Bombyx mori: one gene and its partners. The protein of the gene in region 3 binds, or shares a complex with, the protein of the main gene of each other region. Links are inferred from orthologs where the notes say so. Each region holds a gene or a part of one and is shown on either strand. Other genes may lie near its edges.

Evidence for each region. Proteins that work in one complex are often made in the same cells at the same time.
Region 1: DNA-directed RNA polymerases I, II, and III subunit RPABC1 (region 3) and transcription initiation factor IIA subunit 1 share a complex: the UniProt entries of both Homo sapiens proteins name them as parts of the TBP-based Pol II pre-initiation complex. The link is inferred for Bombyx mori from reciprocal best matches to the Homo sapiens genes POLR2E and GTF2A1.
Region 2: DNA-directed RNA polymerases I, II, and III subunit RPABC1 (region 3) and general transcription factor IIF subunit 2 share a complex: the UniProt entries of both Homo sapiens proteins name them as parts of the TBP-based Pol II pre-initiation complex. The link is inferred for Bombyx mori from reciprocal best matches to the Homo sapiens genes POLR2E and GTF2F2.

The regions. Positions count from the first base shown.
Region 1 is NC_085117.1:13,410,904-13,414,869, forward strand, and holds transcription initiation factor IIA subunit 1, read left to right. Parts: upstream 1-1,447; 5' UTR 1,448-1,969; coding exon 1,970-2,938; 3' UTR 2,939-3,451; downstream 3,452-3,966. UniProt on the Homo sapiens protein: TFIIA is a component of the transcription machinery of RNA polymerase II and plays an important role in transcriptional activation. TFIIA in a complex with TBP mediates transcriptional activity.
Region 2 is NC_085110.1:12,712,201-12,716,276, reverse strand, and holds the start of general transcription factor IIF subunit 2, read left to right. Parts: upstream 1-1,261; 5' UTR 1,262-1,453; coding exon 1,454-1,730; intron 1,731-1,861; coding exon 1,862-2,073; intron 2,074-3,465; coding exon 3,466-3,591; intron 3,592-4,076. UniProt on the Homo sapiens protein: TFIIF is a general transcription initiation factor that binds to RNA polymerase II and helps to recruit it to the initiation complex in collaboration with TFIIB.
Region 3 is NC_085125.1:6,611,203-6,615,449, forward strand, and holds the start of DNA-directed RNA polymerases I, II, and III subunit RPABC1, read left to right. Parts: upstream 1-1,435; 5' UTR 1,436-1,630; coding exon 1,631-1,687; intron 1,688-1,758; coding exon 1,759-1,847; intron 1,848-2,820; coding exon of another isoform or gene 2,821-2,898; exon of another isoform or gene 2,899-2,948; intron 2,949-3,203; coding exon 3,204-3,382; intron 3,383-4,247. Other genes in the region: leptin receptor gene-related protein, read right to left, coding at 2,821-2,898; piggyBac transposable element-derived protein 4-like, read right to left, coding at 1-144, 682-689. UniProt on the Homo sapiens protein: DNA-dependent RNA polymerase catalyzes the transcription of DNA into RNA using the four ribonucleoside triphosphates as substrates.

The DNA.
Region 1 (3,966 bases), on a different chromosome or scaffold from region 3:
GACACTTAAAAATTCTAGTACTTATCCTTGATTGATATAACACAGTTATTAATAGCAATGTAAATTAGGTATAACGGTATTCTTAGTTAGCATTGTAATTTTAATTGTAGTTAACATAAATTTCTATTATCATTGACCCAAATAATTTTGCTAACTTGTACATAGTTGGAAAATTTTACTTATTAAATATTTAAAAAAATAATAATGTATATTAAATCATTAAAAACAGAAACTTTCGAAATGTTGCAAATTTCGACAAGAGATGGTTTTTGAACTGCCATAAAACCAAAATTCTACATTAATAGCGAACACATAGTGAATAGTAAACAAATTTTAGTTTGATCCTACGTTAATTTAGACTTCAGGTGAGCGAGTAATGATATTCTGGAACGTATCGATCTGCTGCAAATAGCTAGCCGACGAACAAACCAACACGGTCCCCACTAGACCGCGTCGACCGCGGACTATACAGATACACACCAATCACTGACAGATGACGTTATTTCCCCGAAATAACTAGCTGTGCTTTTAATTTACCTTTAATTAATTTACGGTAAATGTGCTGTATTGTGTTATCAAGAGAAGTTTGATTTGATAAACTGAAAAAACCGTGTTTCATTCGGCATTGGTATCGATTTTGTTCGTTACAATATTTACTAAAAGAAAATTGAGGTAAATGAGTACTGTAACCCTCATATTTTGATATTTATAAATTTTTAATATTATATTGAAGTCAGAATATATAAGAATGTTCCATTAGAATACCTTCTTACCAATTGTCGTGCTTTAAAAATCTGTCACAGAAAGAAATGTATTGAGTCAAATGAATTGATGATGATTGATGTCAAATTAATAACGAAAGCATATTATTATACACTACCTTTTCAACTATATAAGTTTAAGCCCCTATTTTAAATATAAAAACTTCAACGTCATTCGTTACAAAAAAAATGAAAAGCTTCGACAAAGACGAAAAGTTCTTTCCAACATTTGGATTTCCCGCCACAAAAATACTAAAATTCAATTATTGTCTATGCCACCAATTTTAATCAACATTTTTTACAACCACTGAAAAACTGAAAAATCTATCTAAAATAACAATTAAGTTTATAGTTACTCTTGTTTCATAAACGTCCTATTATGCGGTTTTATTAAGAATGAAGTCTTTAAGTTTTCATAGTACAAGATAAAATTGAGTGTTGCGTTGCTTGTACTCAACAGTGCAATAGTTTAATATAAATAAAATATAAATATTATTTAGTCAATATTATTTAACAATGGTTTAAGTAGAAATGAATTTCATTAAAATTGGCTTGTAACGAATTTTTTTGAATGAATACCGTTTTTTGTGAAAATTCTATATTTTTAAATTTCATCATTCAATGTTATAACAATAAATTTTAGATATGCCAATTTTGTTTTGAAATTTTAAAGTGGTGGCTCTTTCCTTTCAAACCGTAAAATCAATTTAAAGGCAACTACCCAAGGCGCAAACTCACCAATACGTAATCAACCGGGGCGCGGTGCGGGGCGGTGCTATTTCTCGTACTCATAACGCATGCGCCATCTTTGTCGTCGTTCAATGTCGGAATCAACGAACCATAGACAATTATTTCTTTAAAGGCTACGAAATATTTCCTCGGTTTGTAGGTTATGTTTGAGTGATCAATTGTCAAAATTTTTATGGTGAATTTATAAATTTGTCTCTCTTTATGTAAATGGACGTCATAAAAGTTAAAATAAGCTACTTTAGCCACATATTATCTTAAATATATAAAATTGGTCATCAACATTAGTGAATTAACAAACTGTGTGAATTCCAGAAATTTGACATTGAAATGTTGCGATGTGAACTCAGAAGACAAATAATCGGCTCTAAACTAAACTAAACAGATTTAGAAACAAGAATATCTAGTTCTGTGAACATTTTACACTGTTAAACAATTTTCAACTACAGCTCGATTGCAAAATGACAACGAGTCAGCTCGCAGTATTGAAACTTTACAACATAGTGGTAGACGACGTGATATCCGGAGTGAGAAATTCTTTCTTAGATGACGGTGTAGACGAACAAGTGTTACAAGAACTAAAACAACTATGGAAGACAAAGCTTCAAGCCAGTGGAGCCACGGACCCGTTACAACCTGAGCCGATGCTGCCACCTCCTCCAGTGTTACAGAATTTCCAAAAAGTAAATGGTAGTAATGTAGTGCATAAAAGAACTGACATGGGACATACTTCGGGGCAACAAGAACATAGTGCACCAGCATCTAGTGTAGCTGGAACGCATACTCATCATATTCTAGACCCTAATAATAAAGTGCCAGTTCAGCTTACATTACCTGCTCAACCTGGAGTTCCAGGGTCCCAGCCTCGTTCATTTACCATTCAAATTCCAGCATCAGCTCTGAACGGCAACAAACTGCATCAGGTCTTAACAGGTCCTATAATAAATGCTACCATTAGCCTTCCACAACCTCTAGCTGCTACTTTACTGCAACAACATATCAACTCGGCTTTAGCAGGACAAAAAAGTGATTTTGATAGCGGCGGAGGCGGCCGCAGTGGAACTGCTCCTTTCTCTTTAGATGGTGCTTTGGACTCTTCTGATGATGATGGCTCAAACGTAGGTGATGGTTCAGAAGACGGTGCAGCAGATGATGATGATGATGACGATTCTCCCGAAGAGCGGGCAGAAGAAGAAGAAGAAGAACAAAATGAAAGTGGTGGTGCTGAAGAAGAACCCCTAAATTCCGGTGATGATGTATCTGATGAGGAGCCAGGGGACATGTTTGATACTGATAATGTAGTTGTTTGCCAATATGATAAAATTACACGCAGTCGCAATAGGTGGAAGTTCTATCTCAAAGATGGAATCATGAATCTAGCTGGAAAGGATTATGTATTCCAAAAGGCTAATGGTGATGCGGAATGGTGATTATAGACAGTGTGTATTTTATAGAAAATTATTTGTTATATCTCGGAATTAGGGCTTAAGGTCTCATAATTATTATTTCGTTATTTCGACATGTAATTTGATGTCTGTATGGCAGATATCTGTGTAACAAGATTACGATAAGATTGTTAAACAAATTATGAAAAAAAAAAAACAATCTTTAGTAGGTAGATTTGAAGTTTTCTAAGACACTAGTATTACCAATAGTAAAAAACTCTACCAAGCTCCTTCAGTCTCACTTCCCATTAGTGTGTTTTTTGTACACTACTGAGACTACTACTTACTAATATAATTACAAAAAAAAACACAAAAAAAAATCTAAATGAAAGATATTTATTTGACTTTGTGCTTCTAATATCGAGATACATATCTTGACTTATTGGGTATTAATAATGTACAATACAAAAGAAGTTTGTGAATAATTTTGTTATCTCTTAAGTTGATGCTCTTTAATTTAAATGCCACTATTAAAATTACAATAAATGTGACACATGACCCATGTTTTTTTTATAATATTGAAAATGTCCTTAATTTCATTTGTTTAAACAAAAAATATAATGCATAAATAAACAACTTTTAAATTTAATAAAAATGAGTTAAATTTCCTCTTTAAAAATGAAAAAAATATTTATTACAGAGTATGTAAGATCAAAGATAATTTAAATATCAAACAAATAGTCCTTATTAGAAGCAAACAATTAATTTGGTTTTTTTTTAAATTTCTACATCTCAACAATGGGCAAGGACTGCAAGGGCATGATACTTTAAAATGTAATTATTTCTAATATAATAATATTATAGATAACGTTTAGGGGGTTTTATTTTAATAACGAATTAAATTGCACTCTTAATATTAAGACTTAAAAGGAAAAATAACTACACACAAACTCATATGAAAGCTATTTTTACAGAAGGAGAGTCATCATGTTTCTAATGTAAAAAAAATCAGTTAGGCTGCTTTAAAAAAGTATGGTAAATTTCAAAACAGAGTGCACTTGTCCACAATGATC
Region 2 (4,076 bases), on a different chromosome or scaffold from region 3:
TTAATTTATATTTACTTGGGAAATGATCCACGACAGATTTGTCCTGTAAGTTGTGAGACAATTAAAAAAAACATCTATTTTATCACTTAAAATTAGTTCAGCGCAATCGGACAACTCCGAATGAACATTGACGGAGACCACGCTACCGTGGACATTATTGTAGTCCCAAAGGATTCTGTATATGGGAGAGTAAGCACCTAAATTCGAACGAGTGAGCTTTCTTATAAACGGTTTATATTTCTTCGGTCTTGGTAAGTACTTAGGGGCTGATATTTTTATCTGGGTTAAGAGATTAGTTATGTCGGTTATTCCATGGATTAATCAGATGAATACCCCCACTCTGAACAAATATTAAATATTTTATAATGTATTACTTAGACATTTTTGTCCACCTCGAGATTTCATTGTTCTTGTTACATGTCTGTGCAAAATCGACTTACTTATATTAAATTGCTTGGCTATTTCAAGTAAAGACTTATTCCCAATTTCATAGGCTTCTATTGCTGTTTTTAATATTAAGGGATCATATCTCTTATAAGGCTTTGCACTCTTTGATACGTAAACGCGAGGCATATCTAAAAATAGAAAACAATACGTAACTGATAATATATTTACCAAACAATAAAATAACACATTGATAATTTTAAATAAAAGTTCTAGACAAAGACATCATGAATAAACCAGATTTTTACCAACAAATTTAAAAAATATTGTTATAACTACATAGACAACCCTACAAACCTGTACCTATTTATACTTAGGTGGTTTCCATTTCACGTATTCTCATCCCAATTGACCCCTTTTTCGTTGTTATTTGTACCTAAGACGTCCCTAATATCCCCCAAAACAACAGATTTTTACATGTATTTTTATTTTATCAAATACATTAAAACCAATAACAACTGAGACTTACCTTTAATATATATGATGGTTCAAACACTAAATAACGTTTATAAATCACAGTCGTCTTCTATTATTATCAAATAAATAAAAGAGAGCAAAGTTTCTAGCACTAAAATAATTTCCAACACAGGAAGTTAATTTGAAACGCGATTTTTTATAAGTTAGCAGCTATTATCATGCATATTCAGAGTTTTTTTGTGAACTTTCAACATTCTACTATTAAACTACAAAAAATGGAAGATTTTGCAACGAATATAAAACTAATATTGTGCGTCGCAAGATTTTCCCGGTTTTTTCCCGATTCGCCTCTCAATCCCTAATCGCCCCATTTTACGGTATTTATTATATTAATCTGTGGTTAAGCTGTCACCATAGATTATACACTTAATATTTTCGAGAGCTGTCACTTATGTAGGTCTTTTGTGGAAGTGCAAGTAAATTTTCTAAGATTTAGTTATAGTTAAAGGAAATCTTTACGACTTTAGTACTTTTAAAGGCCGTTAAAATAGTGTCCGCTATCGACTGCTAATAGATTTTATATTCCACAACAATGACCGAATTGGACTTATCAAATACTGGTAGAGGAGTATGGTTGGTAAAAGTACCTAAATATATAGCAAACAAATGGGAAAAAGCTCCTGGAAACATTGAGGTAGGAAAACTAAAGATCTCCAGAGTACCAGGAACGAGAGCTAAAGTGCAGTTATCCTTGTCAGAAGCAGTGCTATGTTTAAAGGACCCTGGTGAACAAAGCATACCAAAAGAACATAAGCTTGATGTTTCAAACGTTAATACTCAATCTCTAGGTGTATTTTCGCATATTGCCCGTAAGTAGTCTCATAATTATCTATATTTAACGCCTCCTAACATGTCCTGGTGAACTCAATGATAAAATTAATTTCATGTCTAAAGTTCGATATTATATTAATCGTGTTTATTCATAATATAACCATTTTAGCGACAAATACGGACTCTGTAGTACCAGAGACAGAAAACCTTTACATGGAGGGTAGGATTGTACAGAAATTGGAATGCAGACCAAATGATGATGTGACATACTATAAGCTTAAATCTGAATCAATAAAGAAAGCATCCATGCCTCAGCGACAAGTGCAACAGCTTGACAGGATTGTTCAGAACTTCAAACCAGTATCTGACCATCCACATAATGTATGTTTACTGTTGAAATCTAAAGGATTGATTTACTGTATTTTTCAGCAACTGATCATTAAAACATGCCCCTGACTGCATTGGAAGTCAAACTAGAGATGATTAAAAAGTTTTAAATAGAGCATGTGTAGAGCTCTGAGATCTCCAGATGCAGTTCAATACTCTTTGGATATGTTGTTGAATGAAATGCTTCATATAAATTCTACTAGAAGTATTAAAATACAGGTTGCAGCAATGTCTGCTCCCATTGTATAGCAAAGTTATCATTTAGACAAACTCGAAAATAAAAACATGATTGATCAATATAAAAAATTATAAATTGTGTAGTTATTGATAGCTACTTATCTGATAACAGTCCTCCATAGGTTAGGAATTAATGGGACATAAGTAGTGATTGATATAATTGGAATGGTGGAACGGTAAATAGGGAATGTTTAGTAGCTTGGGATGGCCAAGACTGTAAAATTTGCATCTTGAGCTGGTATAAAATACAATAGGTACTTCCACCTTTTATCTGAAGATGGGTGGGCATTCATATATGTGTGGTATTGGTACAGATAGTAGGGTGTGTGTAGATATTGCTCCTGCTTATGTTTACAGCAAATCATTGTGTGCTTAGTGTGAGTTTTTAACTTCTTGATCAAACGGCCGTCTGGTGTAGTGGTAAGTGACATGGTCACTACACAAGGAGGTCGCGGGTTCGAATCCCGCCAAGGTAAGATATTTGTATGATAAATGTAAATGTCTTTCCAGGGTTATGGGTGTACATTAAATATATGTATGTGTATAATAAAATATTATATTTATTTCCGTTATCTGGTACTTGTAACACAAGTTCTTTACGAACTTAGCACGGGACCAGTTAACGTGGCGTGATTGTTAGTAAATATTTATATTTATATTTATTTATATTTAAAAAATAACTCAAATTTGTATGAAGTTGGAATAGCGCCCCTGCGTTTGCTTCTTGGGGTGCTGTTCCAACTCTGATCGAGAAGTTAAAAAGTTCACACTAAGCACATTGGTTTGAAGGAAAACCTCATACAATAGAATTGAGATTTCGACTTCTCAAGGTTTTTGGTGCTATTCATGTTATGATGACTAGTGAGGTAACCACTTTACACTGGGTGGACCACGGGGTTCTTCACTCATCTATATAGTAAATTAAATTATAAACATCAGTAAATAAAAACAAATGGCTCTGTATATTTTTACTTTCTATGAGCTCTTAAACCAACCAGAAAACTTTTCACAAGTGACACAATGAATAACAACAGGTTTTAAAATTTCTTAAGTTGTTTTACTTTTTGTATTCTATTAAGTTTATTTCATTTCATTATGTTAATCATGCTTTTTTTAATTTTGTATATTAAAATTTCGTAAAATATTTAGATTGACTACCAAGAAAGGAAGAAGGCTGAAGGGAAAAAGGCTCGTGATGATAAAGAAGCAGTGCTCAATATGCTGTTTGCAGCATTTGAGAAACATCAGTATTACAATATTAAGGATCTTCAAAAGGTAATAAATACTATTCTGATGATTTTATATTTGTCTAAACATAAAATTATTAACACATTATTAAGCAAAAAATTTAATCATTGTCTTAATAAAAAAAATAAAGGCCAAAAGAAACTGTTTCACTGTATATATTATATTCTAATTTTGATAATACTGTTCATACTTTGAAACTGAGAATAGTAGTGACTTTGAATTTAAAATTAGATGTTCATAAAAAAAAACACATCTAATTGCATTTTTTTTTATTGCTTTGATGAATGGACGAGCTCACAGCCCACCTGATGTTAAGTGGTTACTGGAGCCCATAGACATCTACAACGTAAATGCGCCACCCACCTCGAGATATAAGTTCTAAGGTCTCAGTATAGTTACAACGCCTACCCCACCCTTCGAACCGAAACGCATTACTGCTTCACGGCGGAAATAGGCGGGGTGGTGGTACCTACCCGTGTGGACTCCCAAGAGGTCCTAGTGAATTATGTAAT
Region 3 (4,247 bases):
ACAGAAGACCGCGGGCACCCCCTTCCTCTACCTCGTACCCTTCCTTTTCGTGAACCACCACGTGTGGCAACACTCGAACGACCTCCGCGAGTGCGCACGCCTGTTGCTCTTGCACTGCCTCCCCTCACCCGCAAACTTCTCTCACTATGAAAATCCAATCAAAAGCGCAACATAAGCCACATGCAGTTAACTGGGTGCAGGAAAAAGACATTCAAATTAGTTTTAAATAAAGCGCAAGTGCAAAAGAATAAAAAAAGAAAGAAATAAAAAAAAAGTTTTCCAAATTATTTGTCAAAGCAAACCAAACACCATATAAAAGTAGATCCAATAGTCTTATCCATATTATGATAGCGAGCGAACAAAATGGCCGCGTTGCCCGAAATAACCTAACTGTCATCGTCCCGGTCCGGTCAGTGGAGGGACGCGTGTTATTTTATTCGATATTTCTCTAATTAATGAAAGATTTGAATAAATTTACAATTTGGAAAAGGTTAATAGTTAAGTAATTATTTCATTGTTTCCATAAATTACACAAATCTACCAATATTTGGTGCTAAATGAATGGTTTGTTTGGCCGACATGAGCGTGTGCTAAGCCTGAGTAGGTGTTAGATATCAATGTTTTACCACGAAAAGCGTGTCAAAACACGTACAAAAACAAAGAAATATGCTTATTACATACCTTTCCATCGCTTTTTCAAAACTTTATCTCGTTATACTGTCGTCAACCACTTAAAAACACTTGAAAATAGACGCACAAACACTTCCAACTACTCCGCGTTAGCAAGTCCGGAACAATGAGGTTTTTTTTCTTAAAAACATATGTAAGTTTACTTAAGAAAGCGTCTATATTTTGTCTTTGTTTAACGTTCTAGCAGTTGTATGCGTTAGAACACTGCAGAACGTGTTTTAAAGTGCGCTTTTCGAATGAAAACAGCGGCATCAAATTACTGACCGTTCCGGTCGCCTGCCAGCTAAGCGTTTATTTTATCATGACCGGAGCGGGAGGCTGCCACCATGGCACATTTTTTCCGATGGCGTCTGCCATAGGAAGGGATATTGCAGACCATGATTCATTTTATGTAAATATGATGACAATATATTAAAAATGAATAATTCCAAGAATACTGCCTTTGAATATGGATAAAACAACAAAGCTTAAAGATTTAAAATGGATATTAACCGTATAGTTTTTAGAAAAAGGGGGCTGAAAACAGAATAAAGTGGCCGAATTCAGTTTCTCGGATTCTTTCATTTATTAAATTGTCAGTAAATTCCGAACAGTTAATGAGAGGTTCATTAATTTCATCTCATCTAACAACTACGGTGCTGTATATATCTCATCAATTAATAATATTTTAAGTTATTAATTTTCATTCCAAGATCAATTATTTTTCAAAAGATAGACATGAATGGCTTTTGCTATAAAAAAATCTATTGTATGGACTGTGATTCCTTTGCGTATCTGTATTCTGTCAAAAGAAACAATATTCTTTAAAAACATTACAGGCATAGATTATACACTTATGATTACAGGATTTACAGGTAATAATACCTAGCTATAACAAGAGAATCAATGAAATTATCGTTTGTAGGAAAGGGATTTATCAGTTTTAAGTAGATTATAAAACATGGATGATGACGCAGAAACTTACAAACTCTGGCGTATACGTAAAACTGTAATGCAGGTGAGGTTATATTTGATGCTATTCATCTTGTTGGTTGGATTCTAACAGTAACCGAGGCATAATATTTACAGTTGTGCCATGACCGAGGATATTTAGTCACGCAAGATGAATTGGACCAAACTTTAGAACAATTTAAAGAGCAGTTTGGCGATAAACCAAGGTATACTATTGTTCTTATAACCTTATTAATCTGATACGCTCTAGTGTAGCCAGAAAGGCATTCGGACTTCGGGCTACGAGCAATGCATCCATCAAAAAATTTATTAATTTTATAATTTGCGTATACAGTATTAAATAAACTATCATGCAGTGACACATTTATGCGTCTGGATTGAAGATCTGGCAACGGTTAATACTAATCAGCAAGATCAGTGGAGTTTGCAGACCCCGTTTCTATTTTCTTTTCACTGTTATATTTTGTTGTAATTTTAAAGTTGTCCACTATAATTGAATCTGCTACATGTTTTTTTATGGTGGGATAGCACTGTACCGTTTTATATTGTCAAAAATAAAATATGTTTAGATCTTTCCATTGTCAATCCATATGTATAATGTTAGGGTTATTCAGTTTAAAGCTAATTGTAGGTAGCTTGAATTTTTATATTTTTATATTTAACAAATCAGCCTCAATGGTCCAAACATTAAATTAACTTTTAATAATTTGTTAATTTGTCCCTACATATGTATTGTACAAGTTGTTTAATTTCAAGTCAGAATAATTTGAATCCAGTTTGAAGTACTGAGTAGCTGCAAGTGAGGTCTCTTGTATGAAATCAAAACACAAATATGGATTTGTAAACACTACTGACCCATCATTTTGGTTCAGGGGTATTGTAGTACTGCTAAGTTTCAGATCCAGCTACAGAGCAATTCAACGTTTTTGTCTTAACACTTGTTATCTTTCTTAGAAGCTTATTGGAATCTCCAAATTTAATAGGTTCTCACTATTAACATCTTTAAATTTACTTTCAGTTTCTTTCATCAGTTTCATTGCTCAAAAACTTTTTTGGAACATTAACAGCCTTTTAATAAAATGTTCATAATTTGAAAAGTCAGCACAAGTCGGCAAACTTTTAAGGAATCACAATATAATGAGTGTTTTCTACCAAAATTATTGTGTACTAAATTGACTTACCAAAATATAACTGAGCTGTCTGAGATAGAGAGCGATGTACTAGACTGTTTTTAAATTTATTATCTAACATTTCCATTTCTTCAGCTGTCCTTTCAAAATTCTTGAAAGTGTGTAATTTAGCATCGAAATATTTCACAATGAAATGTCACTTTGACTTATAAAAATGATTGTTGTCAAAGAGAATAATGTAAATACTACCTCTATAGTAAATGATTATGTAGTTACTGTGTGAATAATTGGAAATTTATGTTACCAGATCATTCAACTCATGGCCAACAATAGAAATCTGTGGGTTAATGATGAAATTAATATGAAAATCATCAACTTTGAGTTGATTTATAAAGAAATCTAGAAATTAATACAGCATTTTAATTTTTTTAGTGAGAAAAGACCAGCAAGAAGTGATTTGATTGTGTTAGTGGCTCATAATGATGATCCAACGGATCAGATGTTTGTTTTCTTTCCTGATGAAGCTAAAATTGGTATAAAAACTATAAAGACATATTGTACAAGAATGCAAGAAGAGAATATTCATAGGGCTATTGTTGTTGTACAGGCGGGTATGTATCATTAACTAATCAAAAGTATCCTACATAGTACTCGAGAATGCACATTTTTCTCCAAATAGAGAGCAAAATAAGTGTCTTGGTTTTTACTCCTTAATTGTAAAACTTTGTGGTTTTGATTGTATTTTGGAAACTCAATGTATAAATATAGCTTTAGTGGTATTTTCATAACTAGCCACTTCCTAATGTGTACATATATCGATATATATTTATTAAATGCATGAAAACCTTATCTGCACACTGTTCATCCATACTATGTGGAACCATGCGTTCATCGTCAGTGCGTTTCCAGATATCTTTTTGCCACATACCATCCGGCTCTGGAATTAAATCTACTCCACAGTACTTCCTGAGCACTATGATATGTCATTCTTCAAACGTGGCTTGAAGGTGTTACTCTGAGGTAGGCAGCAACTTGGCTGTGGGCTTGCTGCTGTCCATGAGCGACGGAAACCACTCACCATCAGGCTGGTCGTATGCTTGTAAGCCGGTTACAAAAACTAAAATAAACCTCTGCAATCTACAACTGCTATTTTCAAAGGGAATTTTGTATTATGATGGCAGCCATCTTCGCAATATCAAAGAGGAATACTAACAGTAATTTCTTTGAAATTGATGAGTCAGAGATATGAAAAAAAAAACTCGTATTTGCATAGTGATGAACCATAAAAATTTAATACATTGCAAAACTCCAAAATTAGAATACGAAAATCTTCAATTTGTGAATAAACCATAAAGGTAATTTTGATCGAGAAGAGTAATGTTTTGATGGTTCACCTATGTACATAAATTAAGTAGCAAGGAATCCCAAAAATCTCTCGAAAAAAAAATCAAAATAAAACTCATATTTTCGTAACTT